Arabidopsis thaliana: one gene and its partner. The protein of the gene in region 2 interacts with the protein of the main gene of each other region in a pairwise test. Each region holds a gene or a part of one and is shown on either strand. Other genes may lie near its edges.

Evidence for each region. The genes of interacting proteins can lie anywhere in the genome.
Region 1: the proteins of AT5G49210 (region 2) and MAP70-5 interact in a two-hybrid assay, tested with the Arabidopsis thaliana proteins (one large-scale study listed by BioGRID).

The regions. Positions count from the first base shown.
Region 1 is NC_003075.7:9,654,283-9,662,365, forward strand, and holds MAP70-5 (microtubule-associated proteins 70-5), read right to left. Parts: upstream 5,295-8,083; 5' UTR 5,124-5,294; coding exon 5,063-5,123; intron 4,967-5,062; coding exon 4,881-4,966; intron 4,725-4,880; coding exon 4,659-4,724; intron 4,560-4,658; coding exon 4,389-4,559; intron 4,305-4,388; coding exon 3,978-4,304; intron 3,896-3,977; coding exon 3,749-3,895; intron 3,657-3,748; coding exon 3,585-3,656; intron 3,517-3,584; coding exon 3,085-3,516; intron 3,010-3,084; coding exon 2,858-3,009; intron 2,754-2,857; coding exon 2,726-2,753; 3' UTR 2,370-2,725; downstream 1-2,369. Other genes in the region: AT4G17215 (Pollen Ole e 1 allergen and extensin family protein), read left to right, coding at 1,602-1,776, 1,866-2,143; SCL13 (SCARECROW-like 13), read right to left, coding at 6,936-8,083. UniProt on the Arabidopsis thaliana protein: Plant-specific protein that interact with microtubules and regulates microtubule dynamics. May play a role in anisotropic cell expansion and organ growth.
Region 2 is NC_003076.8:19,947,890-19,955,023, reverse strand, and holds AT5G49210 (stress response NST1-like protein), read right to left. Parts: upstream 5,334-7,134; 5' UTR 5,107-5,333; intron 4,951-5,106; 5' UTR 4,932-4,950; coding exon 4,515-4,931; intron 4,113-4,514; coding exon of another isoform or gene 4,107-4,112; exon of another isoform or gene 3,731-4,106; coding exon 3,560-3,730; 3' UTR 3,311-3,559; downstream 1-3,310. Other genes in the region: AT5G49215 (Pectin lyase-like superfamily protein), read right to left, coding at 35-209, 299-419, 793-1,116, 1,343-1,354; AT5G49200 (WD-40 repeat family protein / zfwd4 protein (ZFWD4)), read left to right, coding at 5,969-7,134.

The sequences.
Region 1 (8,083 bases), on a different chromosome or scaffold from region 2:
GTAATGAAGCAAAGAGAGAGAGGGTTTGATGTTGATCCTTAGGATCTTTGTCTTCCAAATAATGAACTAGAGGGTCGCCATGTTTTGCGCTCATGTCTTTTGTCACTCTAAGGTCTTCCTTTATCTATTTGTCTATTTTCAATTTTGATTATTAATCTTGTTTTCTTTTGTTGGGGGCATGGGCATTGGTAAACTCAAAACATCAATATCTTGACTCCTAAAATAAGAACATGTCTATATACTGATATATACATTATAGTATTTAGAAATAAGATAATTTCGTTATTAAGATGAATAATTGAATATAACCTGAGTCTAGAAGTTTATTAGTAAAGAATCTGGACCGGCTATTCTAAACTTGGTGCTTGGTGGTCATTTTGTGGATTTGGTTCGGATTTGTGTACCGTACCGTTCACCTAAACCCCTTGCTTAGTTATTCCTTTTGGGTTTATTTGTGTAACACTTTTGAAAACTATTTAAGAAATCAAATTTGTTATTAATATGTTTATAGTTGTGCAACTGAAATGAAAATTTTAATTAATTAAGATTTGATTTAAAACTATTGAATACATTTTGTATGTGTTGATATAATTTGTTTATTTTTATTTTTATTTCTATCATTTTATCAACAGTTGTTGGTTAATAATATCTTTTGTAAGAAATTATCTATAGAAAATAATTTAATTAACAAAACTATATATATTGCATTGATACGTCAACAAAAAAAATAACTCTACTTTAAAAATAACAATTAGATATTTCCTTCTTGGTAACTATCACAATTACATAACAATGACATATACAATTATATATATATATAACAATGAAATATACAATTATATATTTATATATATATATATATATATATATTGGCTATAAATAATAAAAGCCTGATGCACTTTTTAGTTAAAGATAACACTATAATTATGTGAAATTGTTGATCTTTTTGTGTAGTTATAATTGAGAAAATGCAATAAATAGAGATTGAATGAAATTATAATATTGATAGGTCATCATAGACACATCATTCAAATAAACATTTTTGTATTTATCCTTGGAGAGATTATTGATAACCAACCCACACAAGAACTCTCCCAAAAAAGTTGTCTTTGGGACAAAGACAAATGTCTAGAAGAAAAGAAAAACAGTTGGGGCAGGCTTGATTATTTGTCAATTGTGACTTTAAATTTAGGTTAGACTTTGAAACATAATATTAAAAAAATAAAGACATTTGTAAAGAAGAAACGTCGCATACCGTACTGATATTTGACCAAAGATTGATCAAAGATTGATCAAATTTATTAACTAGAAGAAGAAAAGAAGAAGAAGAAAGAAGGATTAGGCAAACAAGTAATTTCTACTATTATATAAGCAAGGAGATATATAATTAAGGAGTCATATAATTTGACCAAAAAAGATAAAAGTCAAATTATGGAAGAGGCATTTTTACTTATAAAAAAGCAAAATAAGGATCTCATATTCTTAATTTATTCAACTAATCCATTCATTTTTGTGTGTGTATATATATAACACATCCTTGCTTGTTCCATTTCTAAGCCAGTTGGTAGTTTTTCACATATATACGACCTTGAAGATTAAAGATGAGGTTCTTGTTGATGAGCATGACGTTGGTATTAATTGTGACGTTTGGGGAAGCATTTAGTGATAGATGGAGCAGAGATGAGATGGTGGAGATGGCTGGCTACGGCGAACAAAAACTCTCCTCTGTTCTTCTCACCGCCTCTCTTCTCTCTTCCTCCTCCTCCCCTATTCATGGTACGTAACCAGTTGGTAATAAGTGGATTGGTCCGTATTCCTTATATTATATACTACGAGATTTCTAACACATCATCATCATCATACAGGAGCTACTATTGGCTTCAAGTGCCATACTGGACATAGGAGGAGATCTAAATGGATCAAAGCTGTGACAAATGAGTTGGGGCAATTCGTCATCGATCTTCCTTCTCACCTCCACGCGATTCCTGACTTAGACAAGGCTTGTATCATTAAAACACTCTCTGTCCCTAAACCGTATCGATGCTCTTCCAAGATTCACAGAGGTATTCAACTCCTCTCCTCTTCCAACGGCTCTCGTGTCTATACAGCTGGAAATATCACCTTACAAGAGAGCACCATGTAAAAGAGACTGTAAATTAATCTTGCTAGGAAAGATCAGTCCTGACTTTATTTCTATATGGTTCCTTCTCACTTCTTGTGAGAAAGAGAGATAGTCTTTGTAAATCTTGTTCTTCATGCTCTTCTTGTATATAATAAAATTTATGTTTTCTTCAAGCTTGGATCTTCTTGCTACTACAGAGATCATACGATCCTGTAACTGATTATGATATATATATTAGATGCAAAGTTTGTTATGTTAGCCTAACAACCAAGGCAAGACCAAAAAATCTGAGAGAAGACATATATGGTTATGTATGACTTTGAGAGAGAATATGCATGTTTTTGTGTTTAGCTGATTCTGATTTACTTATAGGTTTCCAAGATAATTGCTAACATTCAACTAATTGGTAGGAGAAGAGAGAGGAGTTTTGTGTCATCATCTGGAAACATGGCTTTGCAATCCGATATACATAACACACATACACATCTCTTGATCTTTAGTTTTCACTTTCTTATAATCCATCATCCAATACTCAATATGTACAGTACAACCTAACATTAGACCATATTCTTTAGTATTCAATCCCATAAGCTTCTTCTTCCTCTACTGGCAACGTGGATTGGGTATGCGGCTGCACAACATAGCATAAACATATAAATATCAACTGTCTTGATGTTTGACTATGTATACTTCTCAAAAGACAAAGACAAACAACAAAGGATGTGATGACCAAACCTTCTCGGTAGTTTTGCCTTTCTACATAGTTTTGACTCTTCATTCAACATTGCCAATGCGTTTTCCTTTTCTCTCGCTGCGGCTTCCCTCTTTGCCTTCTTTGTCTCAACTTCAATGGCTTTCGTTAGAGCATCCACCTTCTTCAACAACATCTAAAAACAGAGGTATCTTAAGAGGTTTCATATAGTTGAGGATCTTAAACAACCACAAGAAGATGATGAAGTTACCTTGATTTCTTCATTTTTGGCATTTATAGTACCCTCTTTACTCTCACATAGCTTCCTTAAAGCAATCACTTCCTTCTGAAGCCTGTCATATAAAAACCCTGAAACCATATCTTCAGAATAAACATTTCCATCTTCCTCTGTTTTCCTTTCGCTATCTTCTTCATGTTGATCAGTCAATCCGTTTGCAGTAATCTTTGAATTCTCCATTTCATCACTTTCCCCAACTCTGTCAATTGGCTGATTCATAGCATGGATTCTGCCTGTAACTGAGCCTCTTAGCTGAGAACTAGACCTTTTCTTTGAGCCACCACCACTGGTCAAGAATCCTAAAATCTTGCCAGATTTTTCAGTCTTTGTAGTTGGAGAGACGAAAAACGTGTTTGGGCCCTTCAAGCCATCTTCTATGGTTTTCAGCCTAAGCTTTAACCTCTCCTATAATGTTTACTTGCATTAGAAACTACACTTTTTACCAACAGAATATTAACTACATAAGCAATCACCTTTAGCTGGGACTCAGCCTTAGCGGTTCTCTCGGAAACAGCGAGTTTATCTTTCAATTTCTGCATTTCTCCCTGCACACAGACACAAAGTTCAACACTAATGTTTCCCATATAAGCTAGTCAGTGTGTATTAACTGGATGTGTAAGTGAAAAGCAGTGAGTACATGGAGAATCCTTCTCTCTTCAAGCCATTGCTTTACAGGCATGACTCTATCGTTCTCATCTTTCCACTCGTTAGCAACTGCAAGTGCCACTCTACTTGCTGACACTTTGACTCTGGCTAGCTCTCTCTCTAAGGTTCTCTTCTCATCCTGGTAACGATGAAAAAATCATGTGATTTTCCTTTAAAACAAATGTGAGAATGAAGTACAAGAAACTAAACAGAACACTTGCATTGAGCTGGGAGATTTGGCGGCGATAGTCTCGAACTGCATTGGCGGCTGTTCCTCCTGCCAAGATCGCTTCCTCCAGTTCTACAATGCTTTGGGAGAGCTTCTCAATCTCCAACACTTTCTGGCGGTTAATTTTCTCAAGAAACTTGTTCTCATCCTGGCATATCTCAATCTGTCGTCGAAGTTCAAAGTTATGGTTCTGGACCTCTTCAACAATCAAAGCACGTTCAAGGGCACTTCTCAAGATTCTCTCTGCTTCAAGAAGCGCCGATTCTTTTGATTTTGTTAGACGTTCCAACGCTTTCTTGTCCTCTTGAAGTGCAGAAATCTGTCAAACAGTAGCATGTCAAGAAAATCTGGCACTTCACACTGATACAAGAAAGAAATTTGAAATACATATAGTCTTAAGAACCTCATGCTTGTGAATCTTGATCTGAGATTCAAGAGGAGCTATGATGGATTCTAGGGGTAGAGAGTCATCGTCCTGTTGGTGAGTGTAAACCCTCCTTAGTGCTTCTTCTGCAGCGTCCTGTGCCGCCAATGCATCTTCCTTCTCTTCTTCTAGCTTCTTCCTCTCCAACTCCTACAATCATGTCACAAGCTTAACTTATTCTAGTCATTTCTAATGTTTTGACATGAGTCCTTCACAAAGATGGTCTATAGTATTTGAGCAAAACCTCACCTTTTGGTCAACTTGATTCTCGGTGGCTCCAAGTTTCTCCTCCAACTTCCTCACGTTTTCTCTAAGCTGAAACAACACCAAGTAGCATCAATAGAGCTCAAGAAGCTCAAAAAGGACAGTTTGAATATGGAAAACATTGATCAAAAAAACTTATAGGTAAGATTGACTTAAAGTTTTTGTAGAACAATCACAAACAGAGTTGATGATCATCATGCATGTTACCTCCTTAAAGACTCTGTCTTTGAGCTCTTCATTTGTTCTCAAAGCCTCAACTTCAGCTTTAGCAGCCAAAAGCTCTTTCTCTTTTTCTGCAGAGTGGAATTAAAAGAAAGCAGAACAACCTCAACATCAAGCAAATTACTCATAAGGGTTGATGAACAATAAACAGAAAGAAAAATAAGAACCTTTAAGCTGGCTTTGCAGAGAAGAGGTGTCAGATACAAAAGGGTTTTCTGCTGCAGTCATTTTGTAGTCTCAACGGCTCCTCCTTCTTTGTTGCAGTATAGAAGATGAGTTTTGGTCTAAGCAGAGGAGAAATGGAGTCGTTTAATATATACACACACACTTTCAGAGAGAGAGAGAGGCCATTCCTTAAAGGAATTGACGTTGAAAAAGAGAGAGGGAGAGAGAAAGAGAGAGTTAAAAACTTACTAACTCTTTTTCCTCATTCTCAAGCAACCGTCTCCATTTCAAACCCTTGAGACAGTAACCAACCCTTCCCTCTTCTTCTTTCACTTTCATTACCCATTTACTAAATTCATATTCATCCTCCCTTATCTTTATTTTCAATTCTGAAATGCTTACAAGTTATTGACTTGTTCTGTTTCACTAATTATCTTCTTAGTTACACCGAGCTTGTCCTTAACATTTGGTTCATCATCATAATTACCTCATTCATGTTTTTCATGTTCCAACATTAGTGGTGTAGTTAATATTATTTTAAAGGGACACGGCGTGAAAATACAAAAAATAAAACAGCTACCACAAATGGAAATTAAAATAAAGAGAAGAGAATATAATCCAAAGGAAGTTGGAAGGAGAAGCAGCATATGACAGATATAAAGACACTAATCATAAGGATAAAGATAATTTAAATGATTGAACTAATTTCGTTTGGTGAAAACCCTTTTCTTTCTTTCCTGTTTCTTTATAATAAAAACCTATATTGTATCCCCTTTTTGTCTTTATCGTTTTTGATAAGATTATATGAATGTAGGTAACAACAGATAACAATTATGATAATCTTGAAATAAAACTAAAGCTTAATCATCTTCTAAACATGTATTATCCAAATGATTTTTGTGTTGCAGTTTGATTAATAGAAAGAGTAAGAAAGAAAAGTTGAAAACTTGGAAGAAGGAAAGCAAAGTGTGAAAAGGTGTTGCCTCAGCAATTAATAGCTTAACCGCAAAATATTGCACAAACCAAGCTTTCTTTGTATTAGTGGAAGTCACTCAATATCTCTCTTTGAATTATTAAAAATTAATTGGGATTTTCTCTCTTCTTTGCTTCCAAGTCTTAAGGTTTGGTTATTATTAAATCAAACAATGATAGAGAATTAGACAAAGAACACTTAGCAAGTATAATATAGAATCAACTGAGGTAAATGACCAAATTTGGAGAGAAATTAGGTGAATAACAACAATTAAGTCAATGGCAATATTTTATTTATATGAATATGATTCCCTAACAAAAACTAAAATCATAGATCCAAAATTCTAAACTCTTAACACATAAAAGTAACATGTTAGGGCAAAAAATTACTCTCCTGAATTTTGTTACTGAGTGCAAAATACTCATTAGTATATTGTTATTAAAGGCAATAAAGGAAGCTTGAGCCTTAGAAAAGTAAAGAATAAAATGAAGGCAATGACCTGTACTTGTTCAATCCATGGTTTTGTGGGTTGGTGAGCTCCTTTTTAAGACCTTATCAGAATTCAGAACCCAATCTGACCTGTAGATTTGTCTCATATTTTGTTACCTCACGACCTTTGTTCAGCCGCCAGTTGACTTATACCGGTATATATAGAAGAAGATCATAAAATGACCTAATCAATGTTTTGGTTATATTTCATTACTAGCAACCCACCCACAACCACATGACAATTTACAAGAGAAAAACAACCACCAGGTTTGGTTTGTATACATATATAACTTAGGTTGTGTTACAACTTAAAACATCATTGCACATCCTAAAAAATTTACAGCGACAGATGTGTTTTTGTTGTGCTCTTCTTTATCCACTCAAGTAACCATCATCACTATAACTTACCCAATCTAGTTTGGGTTTGGCTTCCACACGGAACATGTAGCCATGGGTCGTCTCTTCCAGAAGAGGTAGAGCGCTCCTTCATGGCCTCCCAGTTTGTAGTTTTTGTCATAAGCTTTCAGCATCTCACTCGCTGCAAACGCTGCAGATGTGCTGACCGGCCAACCCGTGAACCCAGCCATCATCATTCTGACCCTCCATATCCCCAGTACCTCGTGTCTCTCTACTCTCTCTGACTCCTCACATGCTATCATGTTCACTATGTCTCTTGCTACACAGTGTTGTTCTGCGCTGATTCTCTGCTTATCATCCCGTGGCCGTGCTGCATCTATCGACTCAAACATCGCTGTGTAGTAATCCAGTGTTTCCACAAACCGTGACAGGAATGGCGAGGTGTTTGTGTTGGATTCTTGCTCTACTAGAGTAACCAGTTTTGGGGAGAGGCTCTTGATCAGATGCAGCAGCCTGTCTCTGTGATTTTCAACACTTACGCTCTCGTCTGGCATGTGGTGTAATACATATGGGAAGTTCACAACAACAGCAAAGCCAGGTTCCAACCCGAGATGTTCCCGCTGCACCTTGCACCCAGACATGATGGCATCGTGAAACTCAAACGGGACACCACATGACTGCGCCAAAGTTGCAAGCCTCTCACCTACCAAGCTGAGTCCTCCCCCACGAGCATAGGTGGACTGTGAATCATCCACACCCGTCACACGCAGCAACGGCGGCCCACCAGGGCGTTTCGCAAGCTCCTGAATCAAAAACATGTATTGTGATCCCTGTGCAATCTGAAAATCGATAATGTGGACTCTGGTTTCCCCAGCTATTGCTTCCAAGATCTCAACATTCGCAGTTGTGTACGCGAATTTCCAGTAGGGGCAGATTTCATAGAGAACACTCATGTAAGACATCAGTTCCCTTCCCGTTGGTTCATTGCATTTCAAGGATTTGTATATATTGCTCCCAGACCCCTCAAGCCTCGCTCTAAGCCCTTCTGCCATGTAAGTGCCTAGCCGTTGGATCGGACTGCCTGAGACTGACACCATCTGTTCCAAGACATCAAGGAATCCATACGCTGTAGCGAAATCCCCATCAGCGACTGCCCGAGCAGCCTCCACCAGCACCTCTTTCAAGTCCAACTGTGGAGTCAAAG
Region 2 (7,134 bases):
TAATAATAAGAGGGAATTTTCAAACTATTTTTACCGACAATAAACTGAATGGATAGTATAAGCCGGAGCGTTCAAGAATGTAAGATTTGATACAATGACATTTTCGGCAGAGACAAACTCGACAAGGTGAGGGCGACTGTACTCTAAAGAATGAGAATTAAACCGATCCCACCAAACAAGGCCTTGCCCATCTATGGTACCGTTATCACCTAAGCCAATGAATATGGTATACAACAGTGAGTTTTTATTTAGCATTAGCAAACAAAATGAAATGAATGGAACAAAATATGTATATAACCTGTTACTACTACATCATGTAGCATGTCACCGTTTATCAAACTCATGTATCTCTTCCCTGGTAGATCAATACCCCGCCCATATGACGGTAAGGCATCCGTGACTTGCCAATGCGATGGATCCTTCACACGGTTGAGGTAAGAACAACAAATAAAAGACAAAATGAGAAACAAATACACAAATGTTCTGACTGATAACAATGCAGAACCATGGAACATTGGTAGATATATATATTGATTTAACTGAAAACCAGCGCAATGAGATATATCCTTTTATAATCCCCAATCTTGCTAGCAATTGGAGCCAGAGGTCATCCTAAGCCACAATGCCTAACTACTGAACCAAATTTGGGTTTCTACACATCAATTCAAAAACAGGATTCTCTGAAGCTAATCAGAAGTCTATGAAACAGTTAAGCTGCAAACTCTGATCTTTACTCTTTAGAATGATCAAGACTTTAGACAAAGAGAGAGAGAGAGAGACACACACACAGACCTGTGAGGCAAGTATGACGGCGTCTTTCTCGAGAAAGAGAGTGAGATGACTGGTGAGGTTGAAACTTCCGGTGAGCCACCGTCCCGGAGGAACATAAAGCTGAGCACCACCTTTATCAGCGAAAGACTTTAGATAAAAGACAGCATTTTGAAACGCAAGTGTGTTCAACGTTTTCCCATCTCCCACAGCACCAAAATCAGTGATTTTGACACTGTGTGGTCTCTCGCTCGGTCTCCGACCACGATCGCATATGTTTCCGACGCCGTAACTTCTCCCATTAATCAGAATCACACTGCTCAATGTCAACAGCAAAACTAGTGCCACCTGAATAAAAACATACTAAGAGCTTCAAATTCAGATCGGGAATCAATAGATAACAAAAAGGAATCATTTTTCTAACGGATCCAGTGAAATGACGAAGACCCAGAAACCATTAACGAACTGGGTTTGTTTTTCAAGCTTCGTCAAAATCGAGAATCAAGCAATTTCGGACAAGAGAGTAAAAGAAAGACAAGAGACTTCAGAACTAAACTTATAAAAAGACACTTACACTTACTGGCATCTTTATTTGTAACCAAACAAAAAAAAAAACTGTCAGAGAACAAAAAAAAGCTGGAAAAAGTGAAGAACTTTTCGCGCCAAATGGAACCCGACAGTGAGAAGAAGAGCGAAGAAGAAGAAGAAGTGAAAAGAAAGAAGAATGACCACAGAGAACAACACAGAGAAGCCTTTTTTTCTATTGATTGAGAAAACAGTCTACAAATGAAATGATAGGAAAAAACGAATTATGTTTTTTTAACATATAGTATAAAATAATTCCATTAAAAAGGAAATAAAATTAACGCCAAATGACAGCCTTTTTTATATTCGTATTAACAATTTAAGAATTTATAATTAATTTTTCTTTCTTTTCACTTGTAAAGGTAAATGAAAGCATAACGTTATTAATATTTATCATTAATTTCCACTAATTAGCAATTAATAGCATTTTGGCTACAAACTTGTTTGAAGAACGAGCGTAACGTATATTATCGCCGACAGGACTACCGGAGAGAAAGAGAAAACGACGTTTTTTTTCTCTCTTCTTCATGAAGAAAAAAGTTGTGGAAAGGAAAATTGGTTGTCTGAAATCGATCTTTTTGTCTTTTACTTGAGAGTGCATGTGTTTGGTTTTAGTTTTTGTAAATTTATTTTGATAAGAACATTATTTTAGTGTTTGATTTTTTCTAATGTTTTGTTTTTATTATGTCTTTTTCATTGTTTTGTCGCCGTCAGTGTGATGTGACGGTGTTATGGTTGAATTGTATTCAGAAAAAGTTGGACATGTTGATTTGCTTTCATGTATACTTTGTTTGATAATTTCTGTATAAAACTTTAGATTAATCTACCGGCCAAATTAATTCTCGATTTTATATTGACGTGACATAGTCAGTTAAAAGATTGGATATAATTCTGTCAAATTAACATAAAAATAAAAAATTAATTTAGTTGAAAAATAAGTTAGATACTGATAACCACAATTATATACCCGATTTAAAATCTATAAAGACGGTTGTCTACATTTAGCTAAACAAAAAAAACACAACCAACACCAATACCATATTAACCTAATGAAAATTACATTCTAAAACCAGATTGTTGTTGTCTTTACTTGAGATTCTTGTGGAGTGGAACCTCTTTGCTTTGCAGAAAACTTTTCAATAGTTTGCTTCCAGACAGATTTCAAGTTCTCTCTTGCAGCCGTGACATGACGCAGTTTCTGTTTCAACTGGCTCACGATCATAGGTAAAACTCTTTGATGATCTTCTGTCACTATTTCAAACATATCTCCACCATATAACATTTCTACACATTTGTAGAACTTCTCTCCAAGATCTTTTGGTTTCATCTCTCCCTTAATAACTTCTTATGCACTCTCCACTACACTTGTTAGAGCTCCCATCAATATATCTACCTCGAACATCTGATCTTCGCATTTGTACATATCTTCCTCGATATCGGTTAGATTTTTATGTCCCTAGATATCATAACTCTACACAACACAAGTGTTGTTTAGTACTTTTGATGAGACCGGCCTTTGTTTTTTCTTATGGATTAGCTTATAGCAAATTTTCTCCTTTTCTTGAGAGGTCTCTCAGGTTGGTCCAGCAACATTCCTCTCTTCCTTTTTCCCTCCAAATTGATCTTATCCGACTCTGTTTTTTGCGGGCTATCATCTACTTTAACCCTAGTTACAGCCTCATCTTTTCTATCACCGTAGACAATTTTTACGAACCGTTGATAAAGATTCTTGTACTTGTCGATCAAACATTGAAGAGACTTACTAAGCCCATTACTCGAATTAACTATTGGGCCTCTAGAAATTTACAAATTCGGTTCCTATAGAAAACTACAATATTGTCCCTCATGGCATTGTATAAATTTACAAAACATGTCACGCTGATAGGCCTACTAAGCCCATTACTCGATTAACTATTGGGCCTAGGTTCATTATATTCGAAACCAATGAGGAAGATGATTTACCAAAAAACAATCTTCTACTGATAACAATCAACAAGAGAAAACTTCTTATTAATGATGATATTACGACACCAGAACCACAACAAACAAGAGATTGGTCACAAGACCACAATTCTCATTATGTGCTTGATGCAAAAAGGCTAAAACAGCCTTCGCTTTCTTCTCTAAGAAAAAAAAAAGACTTGTCTTCAACAAAAGGACTAAAGTGATTGTTTCTTAAACAAAGATTCAGAGGAGAAGCTTTGGTTTAGAGAACAACGTTGTCAACCAAGGCTTCTGTAATCTTCCTCTCCAGTTCTTTTTGCTCGATCCATAGTGAACTCTGTTCACGCAGTAGCTTCTCTCTCTCTTTGATCTTCTCTTCCCTCTTTTGGCCCATCATCTTCCACATCTCTAGCTTTTCTGCTCTTTCTTTTATCTACAGTTTATTAAACACATAAACCAGTCAGTGAATCAAGCTTGAATCAGTTTTACAACTTTAAGAAGAAAAGCACTATGACCATTACTGCTCTGAGGCTGTGACCAAGAAACATGAGGAACTCAAACTAGAAATAGAAACCTAGGAGTGGTACTACTCTTCTGAATTAATTTGCAGACATAAGTACGTGAAATCAATTAATGAATCAGTGAATACTGCTTTGGTCAGTGTGTGTGTGTGCGATGTCTCATCTACCTACAGCCCGAACAAAGGAAGCTTCTAACTAACAAGTTTCACTGCCCTCAAAAGAATTCCCATTAAAAGCATCAAGATCCAGCATCAAAATCCATCTTATTTTTGATTGTTAGGTACGATGCTAAAGCTGTAACCAGAACAACAACAGCTAATGTAAGGAGACAATGATAACTACAGGATTCATCAAAACCTCCACTTGATGCTAAGCAACGTTTATCAAAGCTCTTAGTCATACATCTCCATCAGCTCTAATCTAAAGTTCTCTTCCAATCACAAACATAATACTATACCTTGAAGTTCTCTTCTATATAATACTACTACACCCTGATGCATAACTAGGAAAAGGTTCCAAATTTTCAAGAGGAAAACAACAATTTGATTCTCCACATGCTAGATGAACCTTATCCAGACAAACCCATTCTCCTATTTACTCAAGAATCATCTCACACTAATCCAACTACTTGATCAAACATCCACCATGGTTTCTATACAATAAACAAAGAACGGAGAAGAGAGAAAGTGAACTCACCAGAGTTTGCCTGAACTCTTCGTCAGCAATCTTACGTTCCTCAGCTCTAACCTTAGCAGCCTCAGCCTTCAAGAGTCGCCTCTCTTCATTAGCAGCTCGTTCAGCCAACAATCTAGCCTCATCCTTACGCTGTTTCTCAACACGAAGCATCTCAATCTCATGAATGTACTCTTTACGATACACTCGAACTTTCTTAGCATAATCTCTCCTAAGCTGAGCAAGCTTTCTCTCTGCATCTTTCGGATCACTCGGAGCTTCCCAGCTACCAATATAGTATTCTGGCTCAAGAAAATTGTGAGTCTCCTGGTGGAATCTATGGTGAGTGGCATCAGCAGAGAAAGACCTGAGAGAGCCAATCATGGAAGCATTCTCACTCTGCCTCCTCACGAAACGGCTTAGCTTATTGCAAAAAGCCATTTCACTAAATCTTCTGATTCTACACAAGGAGACAAAACGTTAAACTCAAATACAGATTCAGATTCAAAAACAATTAGATCCCTAGAAGTTTCTGGCTAAATCCTGATTAATGGGAACAGCTAGGGTCTGTGAATCGGAGAAAAATGCGAAAGTAAAATTGGTCGAAGAAGCTTACCTGGGAGGAACGAATGAGTCGTCGGAGATTTGTTTGTTTGAGAGAGAACCCAGGTAGAAGAAGAAGAAGAAGCACAACGGCGGTGAAACAAACCGGCGTGAAGCTTTTTTAGGGCTGAGAGAGAAATGAAGGAATTTTTTTTGTTGTTGTTCGAACAGTGAATATTTTATTCTACTCGAACCAAACCAATAAAACTAAACATTCTAAATCAAATATGTAAACCGAATATAACCGAATAAATTGGCTTTAATCAGAATCATAAAATTGTTAGTTATTCAGTCGATTAATTACTACATTGGCTTTAATCAGAATATTTCCTTGTTCTTGATCCATTTTTGTTGAATGAGTTAGTATTTCACTGTCTCAAGGTTTAAAAGAAGTTAGTCAATGGATTAATTACTACTTTGGCCTTCAATACTAAAAGGTTTACATCATTGTTAACATATGATATTGACTCTAGGGTGGTCTTGGCTAACAGTAATTAGACAAGTTGCGATGGACTCATCCTGATTTAGCTCTAATTAGTAATTAGTATACAGAATAAAGACCTCTTTTTTTCTACTAGTACAGAGATTTTAGGGTATAATTAATGACCTAACCTAATGATAGAATTGAACATTAATTGGACCCACGAATGATGGGCCTAAAGTTAAGCCCAATAGAAATTATTATAGCGTAACCGCCACGCTCATCTATATATACACCATTCCTCTGCAGCCCCAGATCATTCTACTCTTTACATGTTCTTTACTCCGTCTCAAAATTTCCTTTTTTTGTTGGCTCTCTCCGAACGAGTTGGAGAAATCGTTAACCCTAATCGAAGATCTAGATTCCTCTACATACGTTTGATCTCTCTCTCAGTATGGATTACAAAGCGCCAAGGAGATACTACTCACACGGAGTTGTTGCGAGACAGCAAGATTTCGCAACAGATATAGTTACGAGAAGAAGACCTTATGTCCCTTACGACCGTCCAAATAAGTTTTCAAGGAGTCTGGTTTGGACGTCAAAAGAGTACAAATCACCCGAGGGCAATAATATGCCAAGGACCAATGATGTGTCACCGAAACCACCAGTTTTAGGTTTGGCGAGGAAGAATGCTGCTTGTGGGCCAATGAGATCTTCTAGTCTCAGAAAATGGGTATGTAAGTATTGGAAAGATGGAAAGTGCAAGAGGGGTGAGCAGTGCCAGTTCTTACACTCTTGGTCTTGTTTCCCTGGATTGGCCATGGTAGCTTCTCTTGAAGGGCACAATAAGGAACTAAAGGGGATCGCTCTCCCTGAGGGTTCAGATAAACTCTTTTCAGTCAGTATTGATGGTACATTGCGAGTTTGGGACTGCAATTCTGGTCAGTGTGTACATTCCATCAACCTTGACGCAGAAGCAGGGTCTCTAATCAGTGAAGGCCCTTGGGTTTTCCTTGGCTTGCCAAACGCTATAAAGGCTTTTAACGTTCAAACCAGTCAAGATTTGCATCTTCAAGCAGCAGGGGTGGTTGGTCAGGTGAATGCAATGACTATTGCAAACGGAATGCTTTTTGCTGGAACAAGTTCTGGTAGTATCTTAGTCTGGAAAGCTACTACAGACTCTGAGTCTGATCCATTCAAATACTTGACATCTCTTGAGGGACATAGTGGTGAAGTCACTTGTTTTGCTGTTGGAGGTCAAATGCTATACTCTGGTTCTGTCGATAAAACAATCAAGATGTGGGATCTCAACACCCTGCAATGTATAATGACCCTGAAGCAACATACCGGCACTGTCACTTCACTCTTATGTTGGGATAAATGTTTGATATCGTCTTCCTTGGATGGGACCATAAAAGTTTGGGCTTATTCTGAAAACGGAATCTTGAAAGTTGTTCAAACTCGCAGACAAGAACAGAGTAGTGTTCATGCTCTTTCTGGTATGCATGATGCAGAAGCCAAACCGATAATATTCTGCTCTTACCAAAACGGAACCGTTGGCATTTTCGACCTACCATCTTTTCAAGAAAGAGGAAGGATGTTCTCTACGCACACGATCGC